Linked DNA regions of Canis lupus familiaris. The protein of the gene in region 2 purifies or fractionates together with the protein of the main gene of each other region. This does not show direct contact. Links are inferred from orthologs where the notes say so. Each region holds a gene or a part of one and is shown on either strand. Other genes may lie near its edges.

Region 1 (4,532 bases), on a different chromosome or scaffold from region 2:
CCCAGGTTGTCATGGTATACGTATCATTACTGCCAAAACCTTACCCTGATGTATCTTACAAAAGTAGCCTAAAAACTAGCCAAAGAACTCCTCACCATCTTCATCCTCATCCTCATCCTCCTCGTCGTCGTCTTCATCATCGTCCTCCTCATCATCCTCCTCTTCATCTGAGGCAGGGGCGGCAGCAGCTGCTTTCATCACTGTTGGCTCGAATTCATCCTCATCTTCATCCTCATCTTCCTCATCCTCCTCTTCACTGTCATCATCTTCTTCCTCATCACTGTCTTCCTTCTTAGCATTCTTACCGTTCTTTGCTCCCTTGGCTGGGGTGGCTGCTCCTTTCTTACCAGGGGTTGCTACCAATGCCTTGCCTGGTGTGGTTCCCTTCTTGCCAGGTGTTGCTACTGCTTTGGCTGGTGCAACCGCCTTTTTGGCTGGTGTAGCTGCTGCCTTTTTGCCAGGGGTGACAACTGCTTTCTTGGCTGGTGTGGCAACTGCGACTTTTTTTGTTGGGGAAACCATTACCTTCTTTGCTGGAGTTGTGGTAGCCTTTTTTCCTTTTTTCTGAGGAATAACAACCTAAAGAACAAATAAAACCAAAGGTAAGTCTTCTTCCAAACCCAAAAAGACAGCCTTGGTCCCATGAATGAGACTAAATTCTAACACTGTTCTGGTTTCAGACCCACATGCACTGGATGTTATGTTAGCATGCTAAACTACAGAACCATGTGCCAGAAATCACAGCCTTCATCTTCAGGTAAAATACTCAAGCATATAGAGCCCCTTTTTAACAGCTAAAATACCTCACACATTATAACTGCAACTTTAAAACAGGCTTTAAGAAAATTTTAAGCCTCGACTTTTTTTCTCCTCTGTAAGGGATAACAGCACCAACCTTACATATTGTTAGATTAGGAGTTGACATATATATGTAATTAGAAGTCTTGCACAAAGAAAGCTCTACTTGTTAGATGCTACTGAATCATTCAGAGGTCCTACAGTGGGCAGTGGTTCATTGAAGGCTTGTTCTTAAGACCAGTAAATGAGTATCAAATACACTGGATAGTTAGCTCTTCCTAAGTTTAGTAAAGAGTAAGCACCTTAAACCTGATAAAAACCATCGTTCATCTACATTAAAATTATACTTTTTTGCTCACTCCTAGTTTTACTGGGTACCATATCATCAGTAAAATATTCATTACATCCTAAACAAGAAATCTAAACACAAATACAATAGTTGTCTTTACAGTAAGCAAACAGTAATAGGTTAACACAAAGTGAGGTGGCAACGCTCAACCCACACCAAGATGTTCAGTAACCAGTATCACGATGCTCTTATACAATGAGAGACAAATCAATCCTGCTTGGAGGCTAGGAAAGTAATCTGGTAAAGCTAACCTCAGACCTGAATAAATGCACAGGAGTGCCACTTACTTAACAGTTAATAGTCCAGGCTGTTTGTTTATCTAGTAAGGTGGGGGTTAACATACTCAAACTAGAAAAATGTCATGGCTGAACACAAATATAACACCAAGCCCTACAAAAAATGCACATGAAAAAAGGACTCCCAATTTTTTCTCTCAAATTCAAATACTTACCTATATCAACATGTTAATGAAGAGCTTGGAAAACAGTCTCAGCAGGCCATACTCAATGAATATAATCTTATTTTTGCCAATATTTTCATACATCCAGTATCAGCTATTTCAGCTCTCCATTTCATAGTTTAACACACGTCTCCATAAAGTTGTATATAATTACCTCTTCTCCGCTGCTGTCATCATCTTCATCTTCTGACATTTCCTCATCTTCACTGTCTTCTTCTACCTCCTTTGGGGGAGGAGCCATTTTCTTGGGGTCACTTTGATTTTTACCAGCCTAAAATAGACATTTAGCACATTACACCTAAAACATCTGACCGTTCATATTATGCCATCATTCTTCAGAGTAAAAAGCAGCCGTCTCCCTACATAAAGTCCACATTTCCTAATGCTAGATATAAAAATTAACATGAACACTATCGAAGCCAACGTCAAAACAGCAACTGCCAACCCCCACCCCATTACTCCTGTCAGGTTTTACAGAAACTCAAGGATAAAAATGCAACTACAACAATATTATCTCCCTCCTCCTTTTGCCTTCGTTAAGCACATCCGTTTTTAAAACGATACTTCCAAAACCGACCATTACATCACGCATGATTTTAATAGACTACAACTGGCCAATTTTAACGGCCAACAATTCATAGCCCTTCACCGGGGGCGGAGAACCACACCTGGGGGGGAGAAAAAAAAGCTTTTGGTAAATTCTAGCACCAGATCTTACACAGTCGCCTGAATCCAAATTTGGGGGCAGGATCTTCAAGACAACTTTTATAAAAGAAAATCAGACCTTAATCTTACTACCTTTGGTCTCCCCATTAAGTTCTTTCCCGTGGAAAAAAACCCCGCCCCTTCCAGACCAGGCAGAGCCACGTGGGGATACCCCGTAGGTCACCATGTGCGCGCAGCAGGGCGCAGAAAGCACGAGGCAAGGCCTCCTCCTGAAGCCCACCTCGCGCCCGCTTGTCTGGCCGGGGCCCACAGGCCACGGGGCCTCCATCTGAAACCATCCCGCAGCCCCCCGCCTCCCCTCCAAGTCCCCTCCGCAGACGCCGGGACACACGCGGCGCGGCCCACGTGGCGGGCAGCGCGCTGAGGCACGTGCGTCAGGAGGCGGGGCCCCGCTTGGGCCCGTCGCAGGAGTTCGGCATCATCCCTCCACCCCGAGGCCCAGCGCCCCCTCCCCACTCAGTCCCTAAGTCTTTCGGCGCCGCACCAACCACCCGCGGAACCTGCCGAAGCTCTTCACCTCGCTACCAAATAGCCAAAAGCCGCGAGACCTCCCCGCCGATCGCGCGAGATTTCCCGCAGCATGGCGCCCTCGAACGCGCCCGGGACGGCGCGCAGGCCCTCCTCCTCGCGGCGCCGCGCGCGCGCTCCTCAGAAAGCAGGCCTCGACGTCCATGCTTGCGCAAGCCGTCTTCTTACCTTTGCGAGCTTCACCATGATGGCGGCTTATGCCGGCGGAGTGTGTGGCGGGCGAGTGGCGCAGACGAGCCCAGAAGAATCCAAGCGACGTCGATGGCGGCCGCGGGTACGAGAGGTTCCCGGAGCGCGTACGCTTGGCTGCTCGCTAGAGCTCGAGACTGAGGCGAAAGACTGAGCCTGCCCAGTAATCGCCTCTGGAAAGGCGACGACGGCGCCCTCGTGACTCCGTCTCGACCAATCAGAGGCTGCGCCCATCCCGTGGGCCAATCGCGAGCCTCTACCCAAGAACGGCGCGGGGCGGGGCGCAGGCGGGAGTGGGCGGGCCGAAGCGGGCAGGGGAGGGGGAGGGGATTCGGTGGCGGCGCCCTGGGGGCGGGACTCGCTTTGTGCAGGGCCCGCGCTGATTGGGTAGTGGGCGCGCGGTTCCTGAAGTGCCCCTCCGCGGCCCGCGCTCGCGACGCCTGCGCGGTAAGACGGCCGTTTTTGGCGCCGCTTGTTCCCGAGCCCCGGGAGGCTGGGTACTGGTGGTCTCCGGTTCCCGAAAGTGTCCAGGGTGCTGTCGACGCCGGAGGCCTTGCAGATGCCAGGCGGCCCTACGCGCGGCTCCGACCCGCTCTCCACGCCGAGCCGCCCGGCGGCCGAGGAGAAAGTGTTCGCCCGCTTCTCCCTCCGCGGATGAGCCCGAGACCTCCGGAAATTCGGGGACCGTGAGGTTCAAAGCGCCCGGGTTGGAGGCCCGCCTCCGCCCCCCCCCCCCCCCCCCGCGCCGTCTGCAGGTGGTTCTCTTTCGGGCCACGTGTCCGAAGCTGCCTCCTGAGGGCTGTTAATAAAGACGGTCGCGGATGTCTGTGAGCGCTGCACAAACGCCACATTTAATGTCCAGCCACCTCATGCGCTAGGTTTTTGTCCCAACGAGGAACAGGCCCGGAGGAATAACTTTCTGGTGGTCACCGGGTGTTACAACGGCGGCGGGGGGAGGAACTTGGTCAGGCCAAACACCGACCCATTGGCCGCGCAAGTTCCCTTTTTGTTTTTTGGGACTAAAGCATACCTTAAGGTGTGCTGACTGAGGAGGGTTCCGTGTCACCTAAGGGTCCCAAGAGCCAAAGGAAAGGTGCCCTCAATGGCGGAGGCACAGAAGGGCCTTTGCCTTTTGCTTTTGCCAGTTATTTTGATGGGTCATTGTGGGCAAACTTGTTAGTGCCGAACATCCCAGAGCACTTCCTTCGGTACAGAGCCCGCCTGCGACATAACCTGGACATCCAGTACCTACCATGTTTCTACAAAACCAGGATCCCTTCAGCTATCAGTATATTTCCACAATTGAACTGTTGTTTAGAGGCTCCTCCGTGGAGATTCTAATTCAAGAGGTTTGGGTTGGGGACGGGGATTTTGTGTTTTAACAGGGGCTCACGGATATTCTTGTGAACCATCCAGTTACTTTGCAATTCTTTTTTTTTTTTTTTTTAAGATTTTTAAAATTTATTTATTCATGATAGACAC
Region 2 (4,077 bases):
CCCCTCAGCTGTCTTTAGAGTGAGAATATTTGGTATTAAGGTAAAGAACTTATCCATCTCATGGTATGGTCAGGTCAGAAGCACTCAGAAAACATACCCATAGATTTGGCTATAGGAAACTTGATTTAGGAAGGATGAGAAAGAGCCCTTTACCATACAGATTTCACCTTACTTTTATAGTAAGAGTGTACAGCTTTTTGTGATCATCCTTTTTTCGTGTTTTCCTTTATAATTTACACAGTAACACTTCATCTTTTTAACTGGAAAAAAACTTTTAATACTTCAGGCCCTTGGGGATCCCTGGGTGGCGCAGCGGTTTGGCGCCTGCCTTTGGCCCGGGGCACGATCCTGGAGACCCGGGATCGAATCCCACGTCGGGCTCCCGGTGCATGGAGCCTGCTTCTCCCTCTCTCTCTCTCTCTGTGACTATCATAAATAAATAAAAATTAAAAAAAAATTAAAAAAAAATACTTCAGGCCCTCGTTTAAGAAGACCTAGTATTGTCACCATCAGAATATAACAATTTAAAAAAAAAAAAAAAAAGAATATAACAATTTTTGAAAAAAAACCTCCATCAACATTAAATCAAGTCCACCAGCATTTCACCTGTTGATTGCCCACTACAGTTGCCATATGAACATAGGTTTGAACTGCCATGGGTACATTTACACGTGGAATTTTAATCTATATACAATACCGTAAATGTATTTTCTCTTCCTTGTGATTGTCTTTATCTTACTGTAATAGAGTATATAATGCCTATAACACGTAAAATGTGTTAATGGTTATTCTAGCTTCTGGTCAAAAGTAGGCTATTAAGTTTTGGGGGGTCAAGTTACATATGGATGACTGTGCCAGCACGTTGGTGCCCCTAATCCTTGTGTTTAGGGGTCAACTGTAGTCTATAAGCTCTTATGAAGGGACTTACATTATTTTGTTCACTATAGTTATCTCTGTATCAGCAAAGCCTCACAAGTAAGTAAGATAGTCTAATAAATCATCCATCCATCTCAGACTGGCCCTGAAAAGTTGCCTAATGACAAAGGCATTTTTCCTGGTTTCTGAAATCAAAATACTTTTTTAAAGACTCCCCACTGAGCAAAGAGCCTCATATGGGGCTCGATACCAGCACCCTGACATCACGACTTGAGCCAAAGGCCGACACTTAACTGAGCCACCTAGGTGCCCCAATATACTTATATACAGGCTTTCTTTCTTACAGTACACCTTGTCCTAAACAAATTGTCACCAACAAGGGGTAAGATTTTACTCCAGAAAAATTTAAAAACTTTCATTAAAAATTTACTGTCTTAATTCAGAGAACCCAGGCTTTAGGTCTTCCCCAATCCACAGTACTTCTTGGTTTAGAAAGACAGAATGTGGCAACATAGAAAACTAGTTCCAAATGACTATCACTTCAACTGACATTTCCCCCACCTCCATCAAATAAGAGCACCATATGAAGGCACCAGGATTATGAGCAAATCCAAATTTATTTTAACGCCATGTCATTTTCAACATGTTTAAAAACCTCATAAGTTAGCGGGAGCCCTAGTTCCTGGGACAGCATGCCAGAGGTACTGAAATTCATCACCTTTCTCTCCAAACCCCTAGCAATTCATCCAATCCAAGTCCACAGCTTCAAAAAGCCAAAAGTTGTATTTTCAGTCAGTCTGCTCCTTTGGTTCCTGGTCTTTCAGGGAGGGAGGTCAAAATATTTCAAACAGGGAACAAAAACCAGTTGAGCTTCCAGCTCAGGTTTCTAAGATGGAGCAGGGGAATGCATTGACCCCCCCCCTCCAATTGACTCCAAAGAAATGGACAAGGTTGAGATGGATTACTTCTTCACAGCTTTGTGAAGACAAAAAAAAAGTCCTGTGGAACAGAAATGACTAAAACTAAAGAGATTTACAAATGAGGATCCATTTGACAGATGAGAATCCCTTGGTAAATTCAGGCCCCAGCTCCTAAAAATGAGAGGGGCCTAACCAGACAGTGTGGATCAGAAAAGGAATCTGCTACATGTGAATAAAAACAATCTGAAGAATATAGCTCTTCTCTATATTTTGAGGCCTGATAAAATACCTGGGGAGTGAGAAAAGAGAGGAACAAGCCCCAACAGATGGGAAAATGCTGACACCAGAGTGGTATAAAAAAATTTCAGCTGAGTTTTTAGTGGTGGTGGCTACTTTAGCCTTCTCCCTGTTATGTTGTAGGGCCATAAACCTTGACCAAGCAGAGAGTAGTAGAAAAAGGCTAGAAAGAGGGGCTTGAAGACGATGAATTTTGACTCCTGATTTTATTATCAATTTCTCTTTTCTATTTAAAGTAGTCTTCGGTGGCTGGGAAGCCTGGCCTCCCAAGACCAGAGTCAGTTGGAGCTGGTTGTTGTTGGAAGGGGTTGGGATGGGGACAGGGATGGGGGCAGGGAGACCCTGCTCTGCTGGCGGTCCTGGGTGGAGAAGACGAACTGCACTTCACAGAGCCTGGGGTGTGGTGGGAAGGGGATGAGGCAGGAGCGGCAAGCTGGGGAGATGGGACCCACCTCAGTCCCCAGCTTCATTCTCTTCTAATGTTTCCCCACTGGTGGCATTCTCTGCAGTCTTGGAGGCCTATATTCATGGAAAGAACAGGAAGACTTACCAGTTTCCAACTACTTGCAATAGTATCTGGGAGACCAAGGGCAAAAACATCCTAATGCTTTAGGTCAGGGCCAAGCAGGGCAGTAAGGATCTACAGAAATATGTACGTCCACCACAACCCAGGAAGGTAGACTAAAGACAGATCAGGTTCACCCTGCCAGAGAGGGAAGATCATAACACACCTTCTTTTTTTTCTTTTTCTGGGTTTTCCGACTTGCAGAACTCTGGAGGAGGGCCTGGAAAAGAGGAGGAAGAAAGAAAACAAATTTTGAGCAATGTAGAGGAAACATGAAATGTCACTCTCAGTATCTTAACTCTTTTCAGGCCTTTGTTGACATCTCATCCTCACTCCCAGGACAGGTGCCATGTGCTCGCCACTCTCCTTTGTCTCCTTTGTGCTCACACACTGACCTTTAGCTCTGCATCCTGGACTTCCATCTCAGACTTGTAGAGGTCAGGCTCAAAGGGACCACTGGTTATCCGCATGGGGCCATTGGGCATGAGCAGGACTGTAAATTTAAACTGGGCTACAAATTCACCTATAGGAGAAAGGAAAGGTTTTGATAAAATGACCCCCTGTCATAATCTTTTCTGAAGCTAGATGGTGGGGACCCTAATTAGGGGCTCCAAAGTGAAACTCTCTTCTTAGAACTCACCCTCCTTCTCATAGAGAACATTAAATGGCTGTAGCAGTTCATGTTTGGCGCACTCCACCACACCCATCCGGGCCTTCTTCTCATCCTCAAATGCTCTGGGTGAGGGAAGACAGATTCAGGTATCCTTAACCCCCTATCAAGTCTTACCATTTTCCTGTTTTTAAATAGCTCCTACCCTCAGGCAGAAATCATGCTTAGGATTGCTCTTGCACATTATCTTCGATGAGAGGGCAATGGGGAGAGGGAGAGAAGGCATGCATGCAGGCTGGAGCTACAAGTCTAGGCAGGGGCAGGGTGGGAGGGGGTGCACTGGGAGAGGTAACAGTGTTCCTGGGTGTGTGGTCTATGAGTCAGGCTGGTTCTGAGTCCTGTTCTTGTTAAGTGCAGTCATAGTACCTTAAAGTAAATGGCATGGCATCAAAACGCCTCTCCACCTCACTGAAGAAGGCACGTGAAGTTTTCATTTTTAGGCCATACTGTTTAGAAGGGTCTCGTTTGTAAATGGTGGTTCTCTGTCCTGCATCCTTGGCCTAAAAGAGTAATGCGTTAGGTCACAGTTGGTCTGGTGCTCTTAGAACATACCTTCAACTACCCCTCTTTGGTAGCTCTGGTAAACTCTCCTCACCTTGCCCTCTCCTGAGCTGACAAGAACATCCACAGCATATACTTCATGTACCTCAAATTCAGCTTTTTCATGGTCCTTCCTAAAAGGAATAAAAAGCGAACCATAAAAAAAATGATTAGTCCCTGGAGTATGAAATAGAAAGGCAGACACAATT
Region 3 (4,504 bases), on a different chromosome or scaffold from region 2:
TAAAATCCAAAAGTCTCAGTGCCCTTACCGTTGGCTGTACAGACATTTTCAAAGTTGCCAGAGTGACTTTAATTGGACTGCCTTCATAATTCATTGCCTCTGCTTCAACAATGTGCAATTCATCCTTTGCACCAGCTCCCAAACTGACCTGTGAACAAAAATACTTTAAGTTCCTATTTTACAATCCCCCCAAAATTTGCCTTCTAAGAAAAAACTAAGCAATTATAAACCTATTATTACCACTAACAGAAAACTTATCGGTGCACAATGTCATCTTCAAGTTTTAGGTTGCCTTGCCAACCAATTTTTCATTTGAACAAACGCAGCAAATATATTTAATGGCATAGTTTTATCTGCTACCCACAGAATGGACCACCTAACATCTACTGTCCACCTATTCTAAGTTAGGCAGTAAGGCTGCAGGCCCCACTATGGAGGACAAAAAAATAAAATTTATCACTGCCCTAAAGGGCTTTTTCTAATGCAGCCAGAGAGGCAAAATACACAAATATGGAAAGTTGAACAGTAGTGTGACTCAACTTCACATTACCAAATGAAAAGTAAAGATGCCAAGTTTTATAGTACAGGTACAAGATCATGTATTTATAACACTCAGTTATAAACAATACTACTATGAAAATGTTAAGTCACACAAATAGGAATAGGAATCAAGAAAGGTCAAGTAGTTTATTTTGGAAAGTTTCAGTACCGTTCTTAAAGATAACTGGTGCTCATTTTCATCATTATCCACCTTAAAGTGGTAATCTTTGTCAGCCTTTAGTTCACAACCTGTAAATCAAGGGAAAAAAGCAACAGAGAAAAATGACACTGAAACTTAAGTGAGGATAACCGAAAGGTAACAGTTAATTTGTGACCAAGTTTCCCACTATTCTAGCTATCAGTAGGCAATGCAGAGGTAGCTCTTCCTGGATTTCTTGAACAGCAATGTCTAGAAACATCACGTAACATTTATACAGGGCTTTATAAATTCCACTTTCCAACTATACTATTTCATTTTCAACCACACTCTAGTTGTTTTTAGATAGAAACAAGCTCAAAGATCTAGTAAATCTGGATCTGGCAGTATCTGAAACGAAGTCTAATGTACAATATCGATAAACTTTAAAAAGGACTAATCACCTACCTACGAAAGAGAAGTGACCAATTTAGAAACGAGAATGGTTACACAAACACCTACAAGAACAGCCTGTATTCACAGGACATAAACTACAGATGTAAAAGACCCAAAACTTGCTAGAGGGGTCAATATTCCACCTTTGAAGTTAACAGAAATGATGTTCATTATGCTTAGAAATTATGTTTAAGAATAGATATATCCTAGGGATATTTCCCGTAGAAAAGATTAACACAAAAATACAGTATAAATTGACCAGAAACCCTAGCAATTCAAAAGGACTAGGAATAAAAGCCGTAACATATGGTGTAAGTTACCCACTCCCATCCCATCAATAGGCAAGTTGTTTCAAGTACCATCAGAATAACCTTTTAATTAAAGGACTCCATTTAATTGCCCTCTAACAGTTACTGGTACATAGATGTCTAAATGTTACCTCAATTAACAAATCTCAGCATGGTATATAAAGAAACGTGGGGGCAGGATTTGCACTTACTTCAAAGTCTGACAAAGATAGGGCTTCTGACAATTTCACTAAGATTGAAAACCAAAGCTGGCCTCTCTACTATGTATGTAACTGCTTTCTGGAGAGGGGAGGGGAAGATTCCAAAAACAGTACCAGCTCTTACTGAACCCCACACAAATTCCTCATCTTTTCAAAAAAGCTGTTTGCTCAAGGCCACAAGAAGGCTGTTTCCCCCAGCCTCCCTCCAAAAATCAACGCACCAGTTCTAGAGGCAAGGAAGGGTCTTGGTTTAGATCTACCCACTATTTACCTACAAGTACAAGCCCTCGTTAAGCCTCAAGCCTTCAGTTCTGAGCATCAGTCATGTGCAAAGTGGGCTGGTTCGATCTTTTTAACAAGTGCTCTATAAATGAGAACTGCCATCACGGATGTTAAGGACTGAACAAAGACTTACAGAATCTTGGCTCTACCAGCCTCTTCACTTAAGATTTCCCGCCCAACAGCTTCAATTAAGCCCCAGGATGCCACGCTCCGTGGTGACAAGCCACCGGGGAGACCCGGATGTAGTGCCCACACCCCCTCCTTCCCCCAACCACGTGGCAACCACGTGCTCCCAGCGGTTGCGGCCTCCTCACGCCCGGCCGCGCCTCCCCTCCCCCCGCAACGGGCCGAGGCACCGGGGCTGAAACTCGGCCCTGAAGCTCCGCACTCTTGAGGCCTAGGGACAACGCGAGGCTCTAAATACCCTTTCCCCCAGAAAGGAAGCCCACGGCCCACACCGCGGACTCCCTCAACCTCCAGGACCAAGCCGGGGCCCTGCATCAAAGACGCCGGCCAAGAATCCCAAGCCTGTACGAAACCACGCAGCTCAAGAGAAAATCAAGCCCGTGGCTCTACCGCGTGCCCCCAAGCAAAGCCGAACCCTCAGCCGGTCGGTTCTACGTTACCTCAGGCCCTGGGCCTGGGATCGTTCCTGCCCAAGGCTTCAGGCCGCCCCTCCTTTCACCGCTTCGTGCTCCTCTCTGGACCTCCCATCCCTTACGGGGCAGGGCCTCGGCGGCTCTCCTCCCTCCCTCGGGCCTCCAGCTTGCCTGGCTTACCCTCCCAGCCCAGGCCTCAGTGGGATTCCCGCCCCCCCACCCCCACCTCAAAGCCACCAGGCCCTGCCCGGCCTCACCCCACCCCCCCTGCACTTACCAAAAAGATAGTTCTGGGGCCGCAGGGGGCTCATGTCCATGTCCATCGAATCTTCCATGGGGCGGTGGCACGCACTTAGGTGGGAGAGAAGGCGGACGGAGACACACGACTACTGTTCCTCAGAACAGCCGCGCAGGACGGAATCACAGCAGGGAAAGGACGCGGGCTCCCTGCGCACATATATAGCACCGCGAAGATCTCGCGAGAGCTTTCCAAGTCCCGTCTCCGCGCGCGTGCTCGGGAGCCCCCCTCCCCTGACGGTCGCCCTCCCGCGCAAGCGCTCTTCAACTCCACTCCTTTCTACCTCGCCCCCCACCTCCTCCAGGTACTTCGCGGGCTCCCATGGAGCACGCGCACTCGTACCCCGGCCCCACCCCTCCGCCGCCGCCGCCGCCGCTGTGCGCACGCGCGCTCTCCCCTGGTGGCGCGCGCTGCCCCCCTCCCACCCTTCCACGTCCTCTCCCGCTCCCACCCGCCGGCCCAGCGCCTGGAGCCTGCGCTGCCCACCCTGCAAAATGGCGGCGGCAGCCCTTGGCGGTGCTAGGTATGGAGGGCGAGCCGGTTGTAAGAGAGCCAGAGAGCTCGGTTCACCGTTCCCCATCACTTCGTGCCTCTCAGGCCTCCAGGCAGGCAGAGCCACCTCGGGATTTTGACTCACCCGAAGGCTTGGGTTCAGAGTTCATTGTTTCCTCAAAGTTAAAGCTTCAGGTGCCAGAGACCCTGGATAACCGAGTATTCCTTGTTGGGGAGAAAAGATGTGGCTGCTGTCCCGACTTATTCAACTGCTTTTATAGCCCTTTCCTTGCTGAGTAAACATCTCTGAAGTTGAAATCCCTCATCTTTTTGTCATCTGGGGGCCTAAGGGGGACTGAGTGAGCCTCTTCCAAATGAGCAGGGCAGGCACCAAGCCTGGTTGATCTCTCCAGACGCGAGATTTTAAAAGGGCCACGTACCCGCAGTACTTCCCCGTGTAAGATCCCGTGAGGCAGATGTGAGTATCCCTTGTTTGGAGACGAGGAAACGGGCCAAGCGTCCAAATGAATGAAGCTATAGGACAGGATGCTCTAGCTCAAAGTCCAATGCTAACATCCCTCTAAGAGTTTGGAGGGATATGCCTGGGTCCGGTTTCAGATAGATAGATAGATAGATAGATATAGATATATATATATATATATATATAATTTGTGTGTGTGTGTGTGAGTTAATTCATGAGAGATACAAAGAGAGGCAGAGACAGGCAGGGGGAGAAGCAGGCTCCCTGAGGGGAGCCTGATGCAGGACTCCATCCCTGGAGTCAATGCAGAGCTGAAGACCGACCCTCAACCACTAAGCCACCCAGGTGCCCCCAGGCAGTGCAGTTCCTAATTTTAACGTTGCTAAGACTGTTCTGGCCTGTGAAGAAAACAAACGATTTACAAGAAATGCATTGACCTCGATTAGACTGGAAGTGAGCCTGGAAATTAGTTCTAAACTAGCTACATCTTGACTGAGGATGCCCCTGCCCTGGAGCCCCCTGGGCACTGGAGGATTTTTAAGGATTCCCCTAATTATCTTGGAGAAATCCGTGAAACTAATATGTGAATGGGAACTAACTGTTCCCCACCCCCAACTGGAGAAGCGTCTTCACCAGTCCAGTTCTTGGATCTTTTGAGATGCAGAGTATGGCCAATTGCTAGAGAAAATCCTGAGACTTAAAAGGATATATA

The links.
Region 1: the proteins of PA2G4 (region 2) and NCL purify together in Homo sapiens (affinity purification with mass spectrometry; 3 studies listed by BioGRID and IntAct, with this or other methods). This does not show direct contact. The link is inferred for Canis lupus familiaris from reciprocal best matches to the Homo sapiens genes PA2G4 and NCL.
Region 3: the proteins of PA2G4 (region 2) and NPM1 purify together in Homo sapiens (affinity purification with mass spectrometry; 4 studies listed by BioGRID and IntAct, with this or other methods). This does not show direct contact. The link is inferred for Canis lupus familiaris from reciprocal best matches to the Homo sapiens genes PA2G4 and NPM1.

What each region holds. Positions count from the first base shown.
Region 1 is NC_049246.1:43,521,063-43,525,594, forward strand, and holds the start of NCL (nucleolin), read right to left. Parts: upstream 3,195-4,532; 5' UTR 3,048-3,194; coding exon 3,030-3,047; intron 1,879-3,029; coding exon 1,762-1,878; intron 580-1,761; coding exon 96-579; intron 1-95. UniProt on the Homo sapiens protein: Nucleolin is the major nucleolar protein of growing eukaryotic cells. It is found associated with intranucleolar chromatin and pre-ribosomal particles. It induces chromatin decondensation by binding to histone H1.
Region 2 is NC_049231.1:783,656-787,732, reverse strand, and holds part of PA2G4 (proliferation-associated protein 2G4), read right to left. Parts: intron 4,003-4,077; coding exon 3,924-4,002; intron 3,829-3,923; coding exon 3,695-3,828; intron 3,394-3,694; coding exon 3,299-3,393; intron 3,182-3,298; coding exon 3,054-3,181; intron 2,879-3,053; coding exon 2,825-2,878; intron 2,613-2,824; coding exon of another isoform or gene 2,547-2,612; exon of another isoform or gene 2,281-2,546; intron 1-2,280. UniProt on the Homo sapiens protein: May play a role in a ERBB3-regulated signal transduction pathway. Seems be involved in growth regulation. Acts a corepressor of the androgen receptor (AR) and is regulated by the ERBB3 ligand neuregulin-1/heregulin (HRG).
Region 3 is NC_049225.1:41,660,232-41,664,735, forward strand, and holds the start of NPM1 (nucleophosmin), read right to left. Parts: upstream 2,943-4,504; 5' UTR 2,857-2,942; coding exon 2,799-2,856; intron 790-2,798; coding exon 710-789; intron 149-709; coding exon 29-148; intron 1-28. UniProt on the Homo sapiens protein: Involved in diverse cellular processes such as ribosome biogenesis, centrosome duplication, protein chaperoning, histone assembly, cell proliferation, and regulation of tumor suppressors p53/TP53 and ARF.